3 linked regions of the Drosophila melanogaster genome follow. The protein of the gene in region 3 interacts with the protein of the main gene of each other region in a pairwise test. Each region holds a gene or a part of one and is shown on either strand. Other genes may lie near its edges.

The links. The genes of interacting proteins can lie anywhere in the genome.
Region 1: the proteins of CG9782 (region 3) and CG10237 interact in a two-hybrid assay, tested with the Drosophila melanogaster proteins (one large-scale study listed by BioGRID).
Region 2: the proteins of CG9782 (region 3) and CG6180 interact in a two-hybrid assay, tested with the Drosophila melanogaster proteins (one large-scale study listed by BioGRID).

What each region holds. Positions count from the first base shown.
Region 1 is NT_033779.5:19,434,207-19,442,520, reverse strand, and holds CG10237 (uncharacterized protein), read left to right. Parts: upstream 1-1,613; 5' UTR 1,614-1,799; coding exon 1,800-1,857; intron 1,858-3,554; exon of another isoform or gene 3,555-4,227; intron 4,228-4,387; exon of another isoform or gene 4,388-4,508; coding exon of another isoform or gene 4,509-4,512; intron 4,513-4,675; coding exon 4,676-4,855; intron 4,856-5,394; coding exon 5,395-5,489; intron 5,490-5,557; coding exon 5,558-5,711; intron 5,712-5,887; coding exon 5,888-6,375; 3' UTR 6,376-6,671; downstream 6,672-8,314. Other genes in the region: Rab9, read right to left, coding at 7,215-7,598, 7,660-7,854.
Region 2 is NT_033779.5:12,705,884-12,710,323, reverse strand, and holds CG6180 (uncharacterized protein), read right to left. Parts: upstream 2,664-4,440; 5' UTR 2,554-2,663; coding exon 1,780-2,553; 3' UTR 1,644-1,779; downstream 1-1,643. Other genes in the region: CG5787 (uncharacterized protein), read left to right, coding at 99-949, 1,015-1,071; CG15484 (uncharacterized protein), read left to right, coding at 2,795-3,415; spict (spichthyin), read right to left, coding at 3,877-4,440.
Region 3 is NC_004354.4:16,614,310-16,624,257, forward strand, and holds CG9782 (uncharacterized protein), read right to left. Parts: upstream 7,281-9,948; 5' UTR 7,038-7,280; coding exon 7,021-7,037; intron 2,036-7,020; coding exon 1,521-2,035; intron 1,350-1,520; coding exon 1,201-1,349; 3' UTR 719-1,200; downstream 1-718.

The DNA.
Region 1 (8,314 bases), on a different chromosome or scaffold from region 3:
CAGAATGGGCTCAGGCAAGCGCAAGAAATGGCATGGAAATACATTTGGAAACGGCGAGCAGTGAAATACTTAATTAATTGCTCGTGCTTGAAACTAAAAGCAAATGAGCTCGAATTACCCACAGCCCCCGTCAGTCAGTTGATCACTTGATCGTGGAACGCGGACACGCCAGTCGAAAGAAGGTACATTAGCTAGTGTCCGGCAGAAAAGCAGAAAGTTACTGTTGTGTCGAACGGGAGGAGTGATAGCCAAAGCAATAACTTACACACTTACGATCCGTAAGAGGGATTACAAACTCGTTTTTCACTCAGTCACAGTGGCGAAGGCGATTAGTCTTTAAACTACTCGTGTACGGAGCGTTCAAAAGTTCAAGTCTAATTGCATCCAAGTCGCGTAACCATCAGAAGATTAACCACGATACACTGTGCGAAACGCTCAGAACACGCACTTAATATAAATATATATACATATATAAAGCTGTGCCGCGATTGCGAAAGTGCCCCGATGCTATATAGCTAACTTAAAAATTTCGTATTTTGCGACGAGAAATGAAAATATTCCTTCGTTTACATTCTAGAACAAATATAGGAAGTGGACTTTTCGCAAGTGGCAGATGAGAATTTCTCGAAAGTGCTAAACAGTACAAGTTACAAAGTGTATATAGTTACAAAATATAGCAAAGTGGATTTCCTGATAGAAAGTACGGATTTTTTCAATAATAATAATAATAACTATATTGTTTTAAGTCAAGAACATTTCTAAAAGTGCACACAAAGTGAAGAAAGTTCTTGAATTTTGTAGTACTCACTTACTTTCAGTGTACCTTCTGCAACATTATATTTAATAATGTTAATTGCTGTGGAAAATCGATTGAGTGCGCTGCACCGTGAGAAATACCGCACTTGTCTTGGCACTTTAACGTACTAAAAACAATGGAAATAACATAAAATTAATGCTGAGCTCAGTGAACCATTTTCAGGTGAACTTATGCAAAACAAGCCAAAAAAAAAAAAGAAGATCCCATGCGGCGATTCGCGACGTGATCTTTAGAGCTCTTAACTCGAATCGGTCGCTTATAATGACCTATTAAGTCGCGCTGGCCTTACGAGTGCCCGACTATTCCGACCGACCTATGTATATATCTTGATAACTATAACTTTGTCGTACAATACATATGTGCAATGCACGCAGTGCATAAAAGGGGCGGCTATAAAACGATTTGACAAGCAGCTTTGTATTTTCAGTCTTCAAACGCGACCCAAGCTCACTAGGTACATATATCGGAGTCGAACGGGAGTTCCGAAGGATTTCCACTGTACCAGCCAACTATTTGTGGATTAGCCGATTTTCAATTCAAACAAGGTGAGTAATTGGATCTCATATATACATTTGTATATATATATACATATAGAGTGCTTTTCTTTTTAAGAGTGCATTTCTGAGTGTGTAGCGCTAGGGACCATAAAAATATCTTAGCCAGATCACCATCACTATCACTATGTAGCTACGCTCAGCCCTTATTTACGAGGCATCACTGTCTGTCCGTGTTTTTTGCATTGCCTTTTGCTCATTACTGTTGCATGCATTCCCCCCTTTCGCACTCGTCGCTCGAGAATTTCAGACAAAGTTCAGTAACTCGCCGACGACATTGACCCATTTAGCCACCGCCGATGCTCCCGACTCGATCAGCCTGAATAAAGAAATATTAATTTATTTACATACGCTAGCATTTGCATGTGCATACCGGTTTAGTTAGTTGTAAAGTAACTTGTGTGTGTATTCATTCGATCTGCATCGCCATGACCATGCTGACCACTGCATCTGCGATGAGGTGCCTGCCCTCTGAATTCCCACTTGGTGAGCAATAGCGAAATCTGCCGAACCCCATTTTTTATCGTATATTTATTGCAAGTACTATATGCATTTTCTTAGAATTATCTCCCTCAAATAGAATTATTTTCTATATACGTACGTATGTATTTATATAAGGCGCGTGGCTACAGTTGCTCGAAAAACTATACACCAGTTTGTTAAAAACTTATATACAGTTGTGCTGGTAATTGAAAGTCACGATTAGTTCGAGAAAGAGTATTTAAAAGGTATTCAAAATATAAATAATTTAAAAAAAACAACACTTTTTGCAATGCCTTTTGATATGCCATCTAAATTGTTTGGACATCAAGCGAGTATTCATGTAACAATCCATTTGTTCGATGTCAGTAATATCTACCGACTTGTACTTTTTCCATCTCTTGAGTAAGGTCAAAGCACTTTTGCTTTTGAACCGCCATTGTCACGTTCTTCAAAAGCAGGTTTCTCATGCAGGGTTTTTAACACGCTTTTTGCAAAGAAAAAACCGAAGGGCGAAGGTTGACATTGCAATGGGTCGTAACCCCAGAATTACTCATATTACTCGCTTCAAGTTTTTTCCATATACTCGCAGCTTTGTACCACCCAGTTTTCGTCAGCATCCGCTTCGAGATGGCCAATAAAAATTGACCAAATGACCGAAACTGGCCGTAATGAAATCGAGAGTATCATCGCAACGTAAATCCGTATCCATGAATGGCCGAAGTCTTCGCACGTGCGATCGTGCGATTGAACCGATTTGTCCAAAACCGGGCGGGAACCATTTGCTGTCCACAACGCAGAGGGTGCTCGGCTTTGGGACGTGTTAATTATACCAAATATGCCTGGCTTAACACATGGGGCTGAGAAAATAGGGACATATGATATGACATGGTGATGCGGTGTCATTAGATGCGATCTTATGATCTATAACTATGATCTATAAATAGTTGAAGATGCTTTCAAGTGTCCAATGTTTGTGGTCTCCAACAAATTGCTAGTGGGGTGACCCCAGGTGTAGGTACGCCGAACAGGTGTAAGCACTAATTGGCGTGTAGCTGGGCAGCATTGAAACCGGATGGCTATGCACGGGCACGGGGCTTCAGGGTCGCGATGGGAAATGCCTATGCCAAGGGATTTTCAAGAGCCCAATAGTACTGTGGGCGATTACCCGAAGAAAACCCGAATAAATTAGGCAAGTCCAAGTTGAAAGCGAAACTGAAACCGGCTTGAGGTGGCGGTGGCATCATTTCCCAATGACGATGCACCCCAGACCCAGTAAAGCTTGCTCGCTCTCCCTGGGCAAACTCCATGTGTCTCTCCATCTAGCAACTCCACGCTCTTGCGAGGCACGTGAATGTCATGCTCAAGTTCAGATTCAGCTGGTGATGATCACTTAATGGGTGCACAACTTGTTTCATATAATAGCATTATATAGTTATTCCCCATCACTAGTGCAAGCAAGCAAGAAAATATATGTTTCAGTAGAAGCTTATTATGTTGAAACTACTTCATTTTGGTGCATTAAAGCATTAAACAACTATAGTTAAAAGACCCCCTTATAGCAGAAGTAGTTACTGTCGGGAAACAAACCCACTTGGCAGCACTGGCGTCTCGATCGGCGACACCCACTCTCATGCCGCTCCGCTCACAATTCCAGTTTTAATTCTTGGCCTGGCATAAAATCTCGACTCGCGCTTTTGGCCGCAACAGTTTCATCTGGGCTTTCAGCTCCGTTGCACGCGTCACTCGCAGCTGGTTTTTTGGGCCGTCTTTGCGGAATACTGTTAGCCATTATACCATTATAGCCTTTAAGTTTGGGCCAAACTAGTTTCGGTCGTGTTGTGTTGTCTTGTGTTGTGTTGTGATCCGTGTGTACTATTTAAGATCTCGTATTTTCCCAGACACAACATCAGCGATTCAGTAGACTCTTGTGTATCATTCATGAATGCAAAAACAGACGATACCCTAAGCAAATCACCTGGCCCATCTAGCCGAAATTGGTAGCAATTTTCAATGTCAGCGCTTCGGATGCTAATCTCCTAGTCTTTTGTTTCGAGCCAGCACTAACGCTAATTTTCGATTTGATGGGAAATCTTCAGCGCTAATTTCCGATTTGATGGGAAATCTAGTGTGCTAATTTCTGATATCCAACTGCCCCACTATATAAGCTCACAGACCCTGGCTCCTCATCTCGCAATTCGAAACCTGCCTAACTGGAAATTACGCTCAAGTAGAACGCGTCAAGTGTCTCCAGAATTTAGTTCAAGGCTCCTAACGTTATTTTCTGATCTCTGAAGAATTGCATTATCTTCGCGAATCTCTGGCCTCTTCTTCCGTTTTAAGCAATTTGCGAATGTCAAGGTGAAGGTCGGCCAGGTGATTAATAAATAAATGAATACATATATGGATATGTTTAGACGATCATCGCATTGACTGGCGGGAAAGTCTAGAAACTCGATGCAGTTGAGCCGGTTCCGAGTCACTTGTGTCTCGCTAATAAATTGAAATCTCTACGCTTTTTTCTTCTTATAAATAGAGGGCACAATTTTACATTTGGCAAACTGAAAATATACAGCGGCGAACCGCTTAGAAAAAGCACATAGCTTAATATAATCGCAGAATAATTTCAGTTCAGCCAGAGCAGCAACAATTGCAAAATGAGTAAGTAGTAATTGTGAAGTATGACAACTAATTGGCAATCGATGTCAGTTAGCTCAAGTTATTTAGTTGGCCAAAGTTCCCAGTGCTCTCAGTGTGAAACCCGCAGCCCCAGCTCAAAGTACAGAAGCTGTCGCTAACCGAACCCCAACTGCTTCCCTTCCAGGAGTACCCACCATGCTGTCGGACATCGACCAACTGCCCACGCTCCAGGTGGGCGACTACACGCTCCAGTTCGAGTTGGGCGAGCCGACTGCCCAGGGCAAGGAGGTGGCCATCAAGGAGCTGCGCGAAACACCCGAGCGCCAGAAGGAGGCCTCCAAGGAGCTGGCCCGTCTTCTAGAAGGTGAGTCGTGATCAGAAATGGAGTTTTACTTTGAATCAATATAATTATACATTAACTACATGAGTTAAAACTCACATGATGAAAGTCATTGAAACTGCATTACATCTGTTTAAAGTATATACATATATCTGAACTGAGATCATACAATATGCATTTTGCTAAGCTATTTTCATAATTTATATCCGAGGGATCTCCAAAAGCTGATAAAAACTTGAGTTAATAAAACTTAAGCCATAAACTTCGTACTTAGCCTGCATCTAATAATTTACCCGATTGTTGGGAATTGAAAATCCATTTGTACACCAAGTTCGAACGAATAGTTCTATATCATTAGTTGGCGACTTCGTGTCACTAATAACAAGTTGGGGCTAAAAGCAGCGCGCCCTCGAGAGGATTTCGTTGCATAAGATTCGTAACTATTGTTACAAATTACGATTGCCTTTTAATTGCTGGATAAACTTAATGCCAGTGGTTTAGTGACTTTTTAGAATTAAGACTATTGAAGGTGAGGTCGATTAATATTTGCGATATGCTTCCAGCGGAGACGGACTTGCTGTACCCCAAGGGAAACGAGGAGTGGCTGATCAGATACCTGCGGCCCTGCAAGTATTACCCGGAAAGTGCCCGTGATCTGGTGAGTCTAGTGTGGCAACCCAGTTTCCAGCTGTGTTACTAATTGTATATATTCTGAATATGGAACAGATTAAGCGGTACTACGCCTTCAAGGTGAAGCACGCGGATGTGTACACCGACCTGAAGCCATCGAACGAGGCCAACATCTTCAAGCACAACATCCTTACCGTCTTCCCCAACCGAGATCAACTGGGTCGTCGCATTTTGGTCCTCGAACTGGGCAGTAAGTACACTGAAAGAAGGATACTTCAATATATTAGCTTTTGAGTGCAAAGATCTCGATCTTCAGAGTAAAGTTTATTTTAGTTAAGATGCAGGTTTTCCTATCATTTGAAGTTTCATAGTTGCTCCAAGCATTGAGCAGATCCTGTATTAATCTTTCGTAATCCCCGATTACAGAGCGCTGGAAGCACAAGCAGGTCACCCTCGATGAGGTGTTCAAGGGAGCTGTGCTCTTCCTGGAGGCGGCCATGCTGGAGCCAGAAACACAGATCTGCGGAGCCGTTGTGATCTTCGACATGGATGGCCTCAGTCTCCAGCAAACGTGGCAGTTTACGCCTCCGTTCGCCAAGCGCATTGTGGACTGGCTTCAGGACTCGGTGCCGCTCCGGATCAAGGCCATTCACATCGTGAACCAGCCGAAGATTTTCCAGGTGGTCTTTGCCCTGTTCAAGCCCTTCCTCAAGGAGAAGCTGCGCAGCAGGATCATCTTCCATGGCACCGATCGCGAGTCCCTGCACAAATACATGTCGCCCAAGTGCCTGCCAGCCGCCTACGGAGGATTCCGGGAGGCCAGCCGCATCGACAGCGACCAGTGGTACCAGCTGCTGCTCAAGTGCGACACCGAGTTCGACACCATCAACTCGTACGGCTACAAGAAGAAGTGATCTGTGGCCACCGGCCTGGTGCTGCTCGTGATAATCAACTCCACTCGTTTCCACACGTCTTCACATTAAGCCCACGTGGAGCGTTATAGTTAAGCACTCGATCTACCATACGCTTGTCCTGTTAGTGAGTAGCGCCTAGAGTTTGCCTTAGTCTTAACCAGGATCGGAGTGTCGATCGCAGCCAGAAGAAGTGTTATACCTACATGCATATTATTTTAATCCGGGGTAAGCGTATTTATATCATTTTACTATTGTACATTAAACCAATTGTTAAAATATAAACATACTTTGTAAACAAACACGTGCGGTATTCATATTTATTCGTTTGTTCCCAGCTTTCACATCAGATAAACACACTTAAGGCACTCCGAAATTATGCAATATATAAGGAAAAAATGTAGTGATTACATTCTGATTGCCTTATGCGTAGTACATTAGACACCTAAAGCTTGCTTTCCTCAAGCAAGACACTTGGTTATGGTAAAGCTTATATACGATTGTTATAAGAGTATTTCATACCGCATATATTCGATACGGTAACATAACAAAATAATAACTTAGTAAGATAATATTAAAGCATAGCAAGTAAAAATGGAGATCCTATTCTTGACATAGAAGCTAGCTCATAGTTAGCTCGCTGTGAAGCATAGTTCCCTTAGAATATCAACCACAACGAGGCAATCCACTCTCTACAGCCATCAACATTGGGTGGATGGGTTGCCTTTCGGTCTGAAGCTCCTGCCCCTCCGCGGACTGGAATGCATTGAATCTGAAGGTCAACCCGGCGGGGTGAGTGGTTAAATTAAGCGTAAGTTTCCTGACAGCTCCTGTCTGTCTGCTCATAGCCGATAATTGGTGGCTGGCGCCTTGCTGGCGTTGCGCTTCTGGCCGAACACTTTCTTGCCCGGACTGTGCATGGCGGCATCATCGCCATCCGCGTCCTGCCCTACGCCGCCGCCACCGCCTCCTCCGCCTGTGCAACAGATGCGCCGCTGCACCAGGCGAATGGGGCGGGTGAGGTCAATGGTGTCGCCGTGCTGGCGCAGTTCCGCCTCGGCCACGCACTCCATGTGCCGCCACTGGCGAAGGCCAAGGACGAACGCATCCGTCACATTGGTGGCCGCCTTCGATGACGTCTCGATGTGGCAGGCCACCTTCTGCTCCGCGCACCACTGCTGCACTGCGTCGGAGCTCACCTGTCGCTTCTGCGCCGGAATGTCGTTCTACAATTGGAAGCAATTAACCTTTTAAACTCAAGATGAACGTTCTGCAAGCATGGCTCACCTTATTTCCCACCACGATGAATGGAAACTTGTCCTGGTCCACATCTGCGTAGTTGAGGAACTCATTGCGCCACACACCCAATCCCTTCAAGCTGTCCCGGTCGTCGAGTGCGTAGCAGAGCAGACAGATGTCCGATCCTCTGTAGAACGGGGTGCGTAGAGCCCGGAATCGCTCCTGGCCAGCGGTGTCCCATATCTAGTTTGGGGAAATTCCAATTAAGGCAATGCATCAATTAAGTTTGATTGAATTGGCGATTCAAATGGCGCTCAATTGAAATTTGCATTCGATTAGAAGCAAACTCACTGAGAAACAAACACTTTCGCCGTTTGAAAACCTATGGAGTGTTTGCATGCCTGACTGACTCACTTATATCAACACATTTACTGTCATTTCTTGTGTGTTAATTAAATATTTAGTTTTGAACTGATAACGAGGTGGTGATAAGCAATTAGCTCAGGAAATAGTTCGTTGAATCTGAATTTTCGAGTAGCATACATACTTTAAATATTTATTTTATACTTTTATTTATTTTATACTTTCGAACATGAGGTTATACTTTTAGCTCTAACAATGGATACTTTAAACTTCTTTATCTAATATAAACACCTTTGGCCTCCAAACACATGGGTGGAATAACCCTTTTAGGGTGTGAGTA
Region 2 (4,440 bases), on a different chromosome or scaffold from region 3:
ACTTTCTTCTAACTATTCCAATTCATTTAGTAGAGTTTTGCAAAGCAACTAGGAATAGTTTTACCATACACAAGTTCCTAATATGTTATGCATTGCAGGTCAGAAGCGTGTTGCCCCACCTCCACCGCTGGAAACGGAGGCTGCCTCCAAGTCGGTCAAGAAATGGCGACGCGTGGCACGCAAGCGCGGTTTCCTTATTGGCGGATTCAAGATTCCCTATCTCAACGATCAGCCGAAGAAGCTCCCACAGCCGGAGGCGGACTCATATGCCTTGACCTTCTTCGAACAAACCTTCAATTACAGTACAAACCAGGACGCCACCGAGGAGGACTTCGTAGAGGCGGCCGTAGTGCTCAACGAAGATTCGGAAGACGAATCGGTGGCCGACGACGCCAAGTCGGCTCGCAAGATTGCAAAGCGCAACAGGAAACGCATACGGTCCGATTGGGCACCGCTTAACGAATCGAAGAAATATAATGATTGGGGCAACTGGTGGAAGGACTACAAGAATGTTGGCGAGGAGATCGACCAGCAACTGTTGGAGTGTGGGAACTTGAATCTAGAGCATTGCTTCCTACCCAATCTGCCCAAGCTAACCACAGAGCAGGTGGTTTACGCTATCATAAAGTCGGCACACTTTGGTCTCGAGAAGAATGCCGACGTGCCGTACGACACAATGAAGACGATCTTTACGTTGATGAACCGCACCTTCCTGGATAACCTTACGGAGTTGAACATGGTGGAAATACAGGACATTATTCGCGGCATACCCAATGACCTGTGGGTTTACAAGTTGCGCAGCATGGTCTTCCTGTGGGCCAAGTACAAGGCCATTACCAATTCCAAGTCCACCGCCGAGGACGACGTCAAGGATCAGCAGGCGATTGCGCGCGAATGGAAGAGTCCATGCTTCCACTGGCTGGCCAAACAGGCTTTCGACGAGCTAGTGGTAAGTTGGTAACATAGTCATGCAGCCTATTTCATACTAACTAACTCCGACCTTGCTTTTTATAGGCAATCAGCGAAACCGAATGGAAAGACCATCGCACTGTCTTTCCCTCTATAGAGTAAAGTAATTTGGAAACTAGACACCTCCCCTCCTTCTCAACAGCCGAATATGCACTGGACCCATCAAAGGAGGAAATAGAGCGTGGGTTCTTCTTCAGCATTATTTTATGGATTGTATGAGTCTGCATCTAGTTGTATTAGAGACCTTTATTATTGCACACATGAAGAACCATCCTCTTGACTTTAAGAAGTAGATTGTAATTATGTCGCAATGCTTTTACAAATAAATAACTTACCCAGATGGGCGTCTCTTGCGCCCTGGGAAATAACTATAATACTGATCAGAAACGTTCTTCCTATTTGGAAGGTCCGATAGCAATTATGTCTTGTATCTTCAAAGCATGTATTTTGGCGAGATATAAACTCAAGTTCATGAAATCTGTATGTATACAAATGACGCTAGAAGAATCCTATTGATAAAGAAGTAGATTGTAATTGGAATGAATAATAAATACATAACCAGCACAGAAACTGTTTTGCCTCAGCAAAGGGTAACCGAATTATTACTTCAGACAAATTAACAAGATAAGATATGAAAATATTGAAAATGTGTAATAAGATACAGTGGCTTAGTTAATATGTCTTTAACAATTTTATTGCCAGCAACAGAGGGTTTCACAGAGTGTTCATAGGTGTCTTTAATTTCTAGGTTACAATAGATTTGAATCCAATTCAGACTGGCTTATATAAGCATGGTTTTTGGCGTAGAAACTAAGCGCCCAGCTGCTTGTAGAGGATGGGCACATAGTCGTCGTACTCAGCCTGGTAGAGGTTACCGGCAATGGGATTGCCGAGGGCGTACTTCTTGGCGAACTCGGCGATTTTGAAGCCACCGCGTCCATCTCCGCTGTTATTGGGCAGTCGCTTCTCGTCGAATGTGAGCTTGCACCGCTGCTCGTAGATCAGGAAAACGTAACGATGGAGTCCGGTGTCTGGTGGAGGCCCGGATCCCACGTAGGCGGAGAGAACCTCGCCCTTGGCGACATCTCCACCGGGTATGTTGCCCACCAGCCAATGGTGCCACTCCCTAAACTTGGGATCCTTGCGACTGGGCGCATCCGGATCGGTCATGCAGAGGGTGTACAGCTTATTGGCGTCCGCCTCCCATTTCACGCACGGCTCATCCTTCACCTGGGTGGGGGTCAGGACCTGACCCGGCTTCACGACAATATCGCCGGGATATTCCACCACAGCTGTCTGCGCCGGTGCCTTGGCGATCACATCCGGAACTACGCAGTGCTCCTCCATTGTTTTGCCTACTTTTTCGCAAGAATACTGCCGCTGAGATGCGATAAATGCAAAGATTGGTTTCGGTTCCTTGGTTAGGATAGAATTGCTAAAAGTTTTCAGCGTTCTAATGGCGGCCGGAAAGTTGACAGCTGAATAATTGACATTCACACCGGTTGATCGGATGTAATCTTTTCTAAATCCATTTAAAGCGCTGCGATTGAGATTACGCAACACCCGGAGCCGCATACAAATCATCCTTATTGCTTAAGTAAACCAAATTGGATTAATTAAAAAACTGTTTATTGTTCTATTTGCCGACTGACAATCGATAAGTTGCGATTCACCTGTAAGCGTTTAAACGTTTTTATCGCTATCGATAGGAATGTGTGATTTTGAATTTCTAATCTTCGAAAATATTTGCGCAGTCTACTTGAGAAAAGCATTTCCGGGAAATGAAAATAAGGCTGTGAGAATACTATAAGCAACTGAAATCATCATGGCTTGGGTTCCCACATCACGATTCGAGCACGATCTGGTGCAGTTGGAGCCGCACTTTAATCTGGTCCATGGACAGATCGCCTATGAACTGAGGAAGAAAGAGGAATTCTCAGAATCCGTTCCCATTCATACCTATGAGCTTTTGACAGCCCGCGAGGATCTGCTTGGATATGGCACGCGGGGTGGAAAGGGCCGAGAGATTCGTCAAAGTCTGCAAATGATGGAGACGATTCAGAGAGTAGCTGGCACCAAGCCGCTGGGAGAGCACGCCACAATGGAGGACTGGGAGGACACCACAATGGTGGACGTGGAGGCGATTGCCATCATCCGGAACTTCGGAAGAATGACCCTGAAACAGGACTCACTGACACTCCAGCCGCAGATCAGCTTACCTGCGGTTGCTCCAAATGAAAGCCAGCGATTTCCTTTAATCACAGATCGCGACTTCTTCACGCCACGAAAGATTCGTAGACCAAAGGATCTTCCGCCAGTGGAGAACAGTCCGGATAACTCAGCCGATGACTCATTTCACACCGCTAAAAGTCTGAGCAACTGCATCTGGCTGAACGGATTAAAATATCCAGATAAGACCAGCAAGGGCGAAATTCAGAATACATAGATACTTCATTAAATTACTAACTAACAAACCTTGAAAATAACTTGAAGATTTATTTTACTAAATCCGATTGAGCATGTACTCACATTATTTGCAATGAATATTGTCGTTCGATTTGGAACGACCTACATTTACCAATGTAGTAGAATATTTTAATGGTTTTTTTTTAGTAATACATAGATACGAATATCATATCAAAAATCAAAAAATAAAACTACAATTACAAATCGTTTTCATTAAGTCGTGTTTAATATATGTAAGTGTAACCTAAACCTATGTGCTTATGCTAGCGAATGTATGAATAACAAGAGTGAAGGAACAATAAATGGAAATGATGAGATGAAAGTGATTGCAGGTGATATGCACAGATATTTGGACCAATGCCTCGTTTACGGAGTAAAGCAACCTTGTCTTCAGGTCAGCCGCTGCAAGGGATGTAACTAGACCTGGTAGCGCTGCTTGTGTCAGGCCTTCCGGAAGATGTCGCTGGATCCGTAGGACAGCCGCCGTTCCTTGGTATTGCTGGTGACCAGCACCTCCTCGTCGAACTGCGACACCCGCTGCATTTTCGGTCGCATCAGTCCACGTACATCGTTCAGCGATATATCAATATCTCTGAACGCGTTGAGCAGGAACACAGCTGTGATAACGATCAGGAAGCCGCACACATCGCCGAGAATATCATCGAACCGCATGTGGGTGAACTCCTTGAAGAGGATGGCAGACGCAGCTATCACCAGGGTGGTGAACATTACATAGTACACTGGAGTAACTATACTAGTATTGAATATATCCAGCGCCTTGTTCAGATAGTTCATCTGGATGGCTATGAAAGTGACGGTGACCAGGATCAGGAACCATGGCATCCATGTGAGGAAGACGTTGCCTCCGTTATTCAGCGTCTGCCGTATGGCTAGGCCCAATGCCTTGCAGGACATCACAGTCAGAGATCCGATGCCGGAGCACAAGAAGATATAAACTACCACATTGGTGTGCCCATGCCGTGGTGCAATGAAGCAGGCCACAAA
Region 3 (9,948 bases):
ACGATATAGCATTTATCTGCCCGAGAACCACATTTTTATATATATATATATATATACATATATGAGTATTTCAGCATTTTGCTCTCTGTCTCTTGTCAATATTGATTTGTGTGCGTGTGTGTTTGATTTTTTTTAACCAGCCCATAAAACATTGTTCGAATATATACATATATACGCTAAGAGCTAATGTTAAAAATCTATATATATATATATATACACATATATTTTTTATAAAAACAAATCCTAATTCTAAGCAAAAGCGAAACAACGAAGGTGTGAATCGAAGGGAGACAGAAAACGAAAGAGAAAGAGATAGCGTTAGGCGGAAGAGCATATACAATTTCGACATAAATATTTTTTAAACATTTTACATTTTACATTGGTGTGAAAAGTTTGTACGCTCCAGACATACACATATGCATATATCTAAACACATTCCCGATTTCGAAAATATTTTAGAACTTTTAGCTTACATTCTTTGTTCTGTTTTTTTGATTTAACCCGTGTAATTATTAATTAATGAATAAACTTAAATGCGAAAATGTTCAATTTTGTGGTTTCATTCATAGTTAAAAACTACCAAAAATAACTAGAAATCCAAAAAAAAATTTCTGAATAGAAATATTGAATATTTTAATATTTTATTCGACATTTTGGAGTTTCATTTTAAAGATATTTCTGTTTTTTTTATTACAAACTAATTGAAAAATGCATGTTTCGATTTTGTTGTTTTTATTACTGGTTGATTGATTGTTTGATTGATTGATTGATTGTTTGATGGTTGTGAAGAATACATAATTGTGCCCGCTTAAATACTCGCACATATATTCGCAAAATATATATGCGTATTTATCGCGTACATGAAGGATGGGGTACTGGCTCTGGATAAGTGGGCGTGGTCGTTGTGGCGTTGGTGGGTGGGTGTGTGTGAGTTGAGTGAGTGTTGTGTGTGCGCGTGTGTTTTTGTTTACAACATAAGATTACAAATATATTACATACACGAAAAATCAATTGCGAACTAAAAACTAAAGGGCAGATCGGGCTGCCACATAGCTAGCCATATGATTCGATGGGTAGAGGGGGGGGGGGAGAGAGAGGGGAAATGTGGTGTTGGAGAGGGGGGGGAGGGTTTGTTGTTTGCTGGTCACTGGGAATGTGTGTAGAATAGGAGTTGGATCTGATTGACACTCAAATCAACGCTCAGTTGCGCTTCCGCAGGGCCAGACGACCGATGGGGCGCTTGGGCTTCGTCTCCTCCTTCTGCTGCTGCTCCGATTCCTCAGCGGCGGCATCCTCCACCGCCTCCACGGGCGTCGCCTTGGCGGGCTTCGACAGCTTGCGACGGCTCACTGGGGATAGTTAAAGCGTTAGTTAGTAATGGATTTAATAACTTGATATAGAGAGATGATTTTAAAGATTTCTATTCTAGTTTAATGTCAATTATTTCAAAATTAGTAAATTCAGAAGGCACTGCTAGTCCATTTAGAGCAAAATCCTGGCCTAATCCCTGACTAACTTACATGCTGAGTTGCCCTTGTAGCCCTTGGCGGGACTGGATGCTGGGGCGGGTGCTGGCGCGGATGCCTGCTCCTCCTGCTCGCCGGAGTTGGACTCGTCGCTCTTCTTGGCCGGCTTGCTGGGACTGGGCGGCTTCTCGGCACGGTGCTTCTTCGCGTTCGCCTGACGGCGCTTCAGCGAGTTGAGGAAGTCATCGTTGGAGCGGAACGGCCGGATAACCGGGCCGACCTTTTTGGGCGCCTCCGTGGTGGTGGTGGTGGTAGAGCTGGCAAAGGACGCCTCGTCGCCCTCCTCGCCATGATCGCCGTGCTCGCCGGTTTCCTCGTCATACTCCTCGCCCTCGCCGCCGGCATCCGCTTGTGCTGGCGCCGCTGTCGTCGTGGTTGTCACCTTGGCCGCCTTCCCGACCGGACGGCGCAGGGCGGCGATTCTCTTCGCCGGCGAAACGGCGGGACCACCCTCCTCCTGAGCGGAGACCACTCCGTAGCACAGGACGCAGACGATGAAGAGCAGGCAGCTAAGTGGATTAAAAAAAATATAATAAATTATTAATAATTATATAATTATACTGCAATGAAACAAAATTATTTAATAATTCATGCCAATCGTATATAGCTCCTATTTTAAATACTTATGCTTTTACTCATTTAAATACTTTGAAAACTGCCAAAAATAGCTCATTAAAAACCATTGCCAAAAGTGGAACACCATTTAATTACTGAAATAATTTTCAAATGGTTAAAAAGACAAAAAACACACTTCCTTATACTTAAATTAAATTATACTTTAAATAAGTATTCTGAAGGTTTCTTGAAAAATTCGATCTTGCTATCATTAGTCAGTAACATTAGAATTTAAATGCAAGTGCCTATTTGTTGCCATGATTAGATGCTTAAATATTCAAATTTTACATAAATCAATACTGAATTGTTGCCATTAAAATCCCATTGGTTGTTTATACGAACAATGTTTCGTTAATTACGAGTATTATTTACTGGAATAACTTGAATTTCGAAGTCGCTGGTGCAATGTACCGCTCGACTTTCGAATCGATACGAAACGGATCTATTCGAATCGATTCAGTGATGGAATGGCATCTGGTGAATCCCCCGGGCAAGGTTGGCCAACATCTACACGCATCTAATCCTCGTGACTTCCAGCTCGAACCCAACTCTTGGGCGATCGGACGGACGGGACAGGTCTGGTTGGACGGGTTATTCAATACAGAACCTGAAGTCGTAAATATTGTGTACATAAAATACATATGTGCCCGCCCCTACATATACAGTGGAAACTCTTTGAATGATACGACAAGAAATATGGTAATTAACTGAATAAGAAGCATGAAATTATAATAAATTTAGCAAAGTGAAGATCTAAAACAGCGATATTCAATCAACAATAGGCTTATATGCTTGCAAAATCAGCAGAATTTGTTCTCACTTTTAACTCTATTTAGATTTATCACCTGTAAAGGTCGTAAAGAGCTGGATTTGTTTAGGCTAATAATTAATATTTATTAGTAGTTGCCATTCGGGTTTCCTGTAAGATTTGCTATTTTATTTTTGTTTTTTTTTGTTTTTTTTTTGTATACTTTATGTCGCATGCTGACGGAGGACAGAGATGTGCTAACAAATATTAATGTGTAAAGGTCAGACAAACGGGTTTGTTCACTTTCGATTTCGATTTGGATATGGATTTCGCTTTAATGCCGAATTCGAATGCGAATGAATGTTGCTCCGTATCTGTTGTTGTTGTTGTTTCTACTGTATATATATATTTTTTTTTCCTTATTTCTTGCTTTAGTTAACCACTTTTTATTTCTCTTTGCCGCTGGCGACGATGGCGGCGGCTTCAGTGAGTCAAGTCAATTGCTCATATTTTATGCAAAACAAAAGACTTAGGCAGCGAACTCGTTTTGAAATTCTTTCCTATGGCAACGCTTAAGTCGAGTGCTTTGTTGTTATTGCCGCGATGAGGGGGTGGCCAGAGGAGTGGAAGGTTGGGGGAATGGGGTTGGTACGGCTGTGCAGGGCGTTGCGGTGGGTGAGTGGCCAAAGGAAACAGGTGCTTATGCAAAAGGCAGTCAACAGCGCCACGAGTGGGGCGGGGGAAACCAGTTGGTGGCAGCCAGCACCACGCCAGAATATATTTAAGTGCGCGCTCACAGTTGCAGTTGGCTAATAACGGTAAAATGTGCAAGCCAAGTTTTATTTTTAGCCAACACACATAGCACCGTTGTTCATTTTAATTATTTCTACTCGATTATCGTATCGCTCGTTTCATTTGCATTCGAGCATGCTGCATTTCCCCCATTGGGATTTATTTGCTTATGGGGTCAACTGGATTGGCTTTACATGTGGGAATACATGTGGCTGTGGATATCGATATGAACGTGGATGTAGCTATGGAGATGGCCCAGTTAAGCGACAATTATGCAACTGGCAAAAGGTGAAAGGCGTGGGCCCAAGTTGTGGGTGCGTGCCCGGCATCTTCAACATCCCAGCGACTCCAGCGACTTCAGTTCAGTGCCCAGAGGCGTGCCCAGAAATATTTCTCAAGGGGGCTTGGGCCAACGATTTTCTCTTCGGGTCGTTTAGATCTTTCATTTTGAATGGATCGATCACGTTTTGAATAAAGCTTTTCTTCACTGGTTTAGTTTAGTTCGGTTTAGTTTGTTGCTTATAAACTCACTCATTGTTATTAGTTAATTTCCAATATTTATTATACCATTGTTTTATACGCAAGGCAATATTTGGTATTTATGTATCTGTGGTGTGGGGGATCATATGTCAGTTCTGCAAGTGCTGGGTTTTCCATGACATTTGGCTAGGCACTGGGCATAGAGCATCTCGCAACCGGTTCTCCAGCGGATTGGCCAACGGGAACAATGGCAGGGCGCAGACGACGCCAGTGCGCAGTCCACACCCACAAACAATCCGTTGGGTGGACAGGTAGATAGATGGGTAGGCAAATGGATGCGGCTGGTACGGCGGTACACCGGCAGACGGGCACATTTCTGGTCGCCGTGGGCTGTTTTTAGTGCCAGCCGGTGGTTATATAAGCCGACATTAGTTGCGAATTTATGATAAGCAACTCGCGTTGGCGAGAATTTCGTGGATCAGGCGGAACCACTTATTTAATGCAGCCTCATCGTTCGGCCTCATTATCATCCTCATTTAAAGAGCTTGGTCAACAAATTGGTTTGGCTCTTAATTTATTTCATTTCATTTCGCTTTTGTTTGGTCTCCTTTTGTTTTCCTTTCGTTTCGCACTCTGTTTTGTTGGCTTATGCTGCTTATTTTATTTATTTTTTGTTTTTTTGCCTTTTTATTTCGACTTAATGGGCTGACGTCATTGGGCCTACTGCGGATATGAAAGAACTTCCACACTCAAAAGCAATTTATGCAGCATTAAAACGATTGGTTGTCTTCAAGTTTTAAGAAGCGGAAGTTGCTTTGCTTGAATTATGTATGCATTTCGAGTTTTTGTCAAATAAAAGCTGAAGAAAAACTATAAACTGAAGTCTAGAGGAAACCCATTTAAATAATGTCTTAAAATCTGAAACTATTCGGCCAATATTTCTAAATGTAGAGAAACCTTTTCAAAAAGAAAAAATGCCTCTTGAAAGTGTTGATCTTGAGCTGGGCTCAAAGTTTCCGTAACGAAATGCGACACCTGCCCCAGTTAAGCCATGCACGTTTTCTAATTGCCCTGGAGACCTCATTACGCGTCCACTACCAGCATGCACCTTTGCCCCCCCCTACGGGCCACACCCCCCAAGCCCCCGATCAGATAGTCCCCCCCCCCATTTGGACCATATGTATGTGTAGCCACTTATTACGGGCCAAACGTGCACATTCGACACCGAATCGGATTCAAATTCGAATTCAATTTGATTGTAACTGCTTTTATTGCTGCCGCGTTGGATCAAGTTGAAGTCAGCAAGCCAGTTAAATTGGATGGAGGTTGGATGGGGGTTTGGCCTGGTGAGTTGTTCCAAAATTAAGGCGAAAAGAGCCGATTGGCCGCTTGAGGCAAGTGGGTTCAATAACGGTGCATTGTGTCGTTGTTAGTTGGCCAAGTACGTGTTTTGGTTGCTTTGGTACGTGTTTTTACACTACTACTACTACTTCTGGCTGGCTGGCTGGCTGGCTGCATGCCAAATCGATCGAGTTCGCTGCCTAAGTCTTTTGATTTGGCCCAGAGTGGTATTTTGGTGTTTACGTTTTCGGTATCGCATTGAATTCGCTTTGGCCCATGAAGTGCAGCACATATGTATATTACTCATACACACACACACACACACACACACTGCCAATTTTGCGACTCGAAAGTCCTTGAATCTTGAATGTTGAATCTTGAAGGCATCGCCGTGTATTTTCATTTCTTTTATTTATTTAAAATAAATTGCATAATACACCATGCCGGGGAAATGGAACGGAAAATCCTGATTTAGCCGTCTGCCTGCCGACTCACCTACCAACTCCAACTCCACCTCTCTCCTCGCCATTTCCATGTGATTAATTCCATGCATACAACGCTGCGATTAACACATATAATACATACATATATATATGTATATATATATACACACCCCATTCGAGTGGTATTGCATTTATGCAGATATGCGGTCTGTCTGTCAGCTCGCATTAAAAGTGCAACCGTTAATTTATAAAAGACAACCGCGGTAATTAATCCAATATACTTAATTTGCTGCAGCTGCGAAAAGTCGAGGAAAGCGGTGATCTGGTGATCGGGTGATCTGACGATCTGAGGCGTTGAGCGCATCCACTTCGAAAGGAGGAGCCACTTTAGCTGGCGACCTTGAAACATGGAGCAGACCCCATACCATCACCCCCTCTGCTGTCGCCACTGTGATCGCCTTTTACGATCTGAAGCTTTAACTTTTGCCATTTCTTTGCCGGCAAAATGCCAGCCTCACATCCCGTGACAACTTCATCACATCATCATCATCATCATCGTCGTCGTTGCAATGCTGATCATGGTGATCATCGTTATGACCAAACTTTGGCATTTTAGCCACAGCCACGGAGCTCGGTTCAGTTCCAGTTTGAAGCCACGGCATGTTAAAGTTCAAATTGGCATTAAGACGAGCTTACCTACACCTGCATGTGGTTGTGCCCCATAAAGGTTGCAAGTCAACGTGCTACATGCAACGGAGTCGATTGCCAATGCATTTCGACGGTTGGCAACTAAGTTGGGATTTCGAAAATTAAATATATGTACCAAAGAAATTCGAGAAGTTTAGCGTGCGTGGTGGGCTATGCAAATCAAGCTCAAAGTGGTTCGATTAAAATATTCTTTAAATATTTTTAATTATAAAATGTGTCTATTAATAAGTTACTATTTCTGTTCCAATGTCCTGTTCAGTTTTATAACAATCACTTGAAAAAAAAAATACGATCTCTCCTCATCGGTCACGAAACAATATTTAATATTTTGAAATAAATATATACTATATATTTTTGGATCACTCACATGTTGAAGTACTTCATTTTGTCTTGATGTGTGTGCTCGTGCGTGTTTTTCGATGCGTGGGGAGCGGCTTTGGACCAACAACAAAATGAACTCGAAACGCGCGCGTCTTAAACTTAAACTAGAAAAAAAACACTTGTGTATTTATAATTGATTTTATATATTTTTTTTTGAGGGAGGGGGGCGAGGTTATCGGCTTCTCTGCTAGCGAGCGGTACTGACGACTGGCCACGATCACGATCGACTTCTAGAGGCAGACTGAACGTTACTTATGCCGTGTGCACACAGTTAACCTACGGCCATCCAATATTTTGTGGCAGCGACGGTGACTTCGACGGCGGCAGCGGCTGCGCAACAGGTTCAGACCGCCCTAGCCAAACCGCCTGCCTGCACCTCCAACCCGTGGCCACCGCCTCCTCCTCCTCCTCCGCCAGCGACTCCCAGCCCCTCCACTTCCATCGCCGCCTGCGCTCAAAAGCTCTTTTTGCTTTTGCACGGCGCGAAAAATGTGGTAAGAAACGTCGAATTCTAGCCATACTTTCATCTATAGTCATCAATCAAGCAAGGCATGCGAATTCTTCAGAACTTTTCCTTTTTGCCATATAACATATATGCTTAACTTAACTTTGGTCTGTATTTGTATCAAATTACAAATGCAAATTCATCAGGACTTATTTAGTCAACTGTATAAACTATATTTATACATTCAATTGAATGTGTTTAATATATGTATGTATCCATGCTATATATTTTTAGGAATATATAGAAGTTTATAATACCGCAAATTACTTAGTTATGTGATTACAGATTACTGAAGTTTCCTTGCCATCCTTTCCTTTTTTGTGGATGTGAGCAAAAGAATAATTTTTAATTAATTAAAATTAATTTTAAATTAATTTATGCCGACGTACTTCACATATTCCCTGAATTTTTCCACTAACAAAGAAAATTCCTATGCCCCTTCAATGACATCATTGATTAAATTAGTTTGTATAATTTAACATTATCTACCACCCGCCAAGCTGATATTAAAAATGTAATTCCTGATTTTTTCGCCTTGTGTGCCCAAGCGCCTCGATGGTCGATCTGTGCTGGCAGGAGTACTTCTGGTTTTTCGGAGCCAATTTGTCACGGGCCTGGGCTCTGGTTATGACAGGTTTTTCGTATCCAATCCACTCCAATCCCAGCCAAGTCAAGCCAATCCAATCTGAGTCGAGCTGAGTTGAGTTGAATTGCGTTGAGTTGAGCTGAGCGGAGTGGAGCCGACTCAACATTCGCAATTTGTATATTTTATTAATTAATTTATTGATTTTAGGCCAATTGTTGTTTTGCCTCTTTGCCGATCTGGTAAATCCCGATCGAGCTGACCAACCAATCCCCGAAAGCAGCCGTCCCGCCCGTTGGCCAAAAACACACATCTGTGCCGCATGTAAATCGCTAAGTTCGCGTTTAAAAATTAACCAAATCAAGTCAGTTAATTATCAACGATATGCAAATACCCTAGAAAGTGTAATGAAACAAATTTCAATTGACTTTTGGTCACATGTCAAATGAATTTTTCCACATTAAAAGTTTTCCTTAATAAGAAAGTGAAATAAATACAAATATTAATTTACATTAAATATTTTTACAAGCATTAAACTCTTTGAAGACTAAAATCACTGGACCTCAAATGCAAGTTAACAACTGATCTTTGAAAACTTCAATGAATCTCAATTCTATGGCCACCAAATCCAACCGAAATCCATCTGCAAGTCTGCGGGCCCTGAGTCAATTTAAGGTATGGAATGGCACCAAATTAAAAATCCGTAAAAGCTGATAAAGCCAGAAATATTTATGCATATTTTGTGGGTTCGTCGCGGCCTTGAACTGATTGATCAGGAGTGCTGCAGGGGGGGGGGGGGGGTCAGGGGCGGGGTCTGTAGGGTGATGGCTGCATATGTTTAATGGGTGACAAAGCTGATGGGCGCTAATTAATCTTCCACACCCATCAGCTAACGATCGCTTTGAACTCTTGCAGATGTTCTGCGGCCAGGTGTTGATTTTTTGGCGGCACTTGGCTCAATGGGACATACTAATTAAGCTCCAAGATCCGAGATGCGAGCTCCAAGCTCCAAGCTGTGAAGCCAGCCAGCCGTCTGGCCAACTCACCTTGAACTACAAAATGTCAGCCAAAATGGCAAAATATATGTTATAAAATATAAGCGAGATAAACACACATGGATATCATCTGATATGCCAGATGATACAACGCAATGGTGCAGAGCATAAACCAGAAACTTGTTAAAAATATTAATAAAAAAAAAAATAAATACGCAATGGGACAATGGCCGCCATTTCCATCCCAGTTCCATTAAGATCCAATCCAAATGCAAATAGCCATGCAAATGGAGCTAATGGACCCGATGATTCCGGCATATTTCCATGCCCATCACGTATTTGGGGGCCAGATTAATGCCGCCACATAAACAGATACAGATACAGATACCGATACCGATATAGATACAGATACGAACCCAAAATAAAGGCAGTTTTATGCAAGTTTTCATGAACCGAATAACTTTAGTTTGCATTTGATCAGACTTTTGGTTTGAGCTTAGCTCTAGGTTTAAAGTACATATTACACAATGGTTTAAGTTTTATTAATTGCTTCTGATTCCGATTCCTGTTTTTTTTTTTTTTTTTATCCGTACTCTCTAAGGCAGTAGAACAGTCTCATCGTTGTGGGATCTTATATGCCGCTCCAGACGATCTATGATATAGGGGGAGATATATATATATATATATATATGTGGGGATAACCGAACCAAACCAAAGTAGAAAAACAAAAAAGTTGATGAACAGAAAACAAATGAATACTGATTTTATACACATTATAGTTTTTATTTTCTTGACGCTTGCAATTCCATTTGGATGCCAGTCGATTTGAAG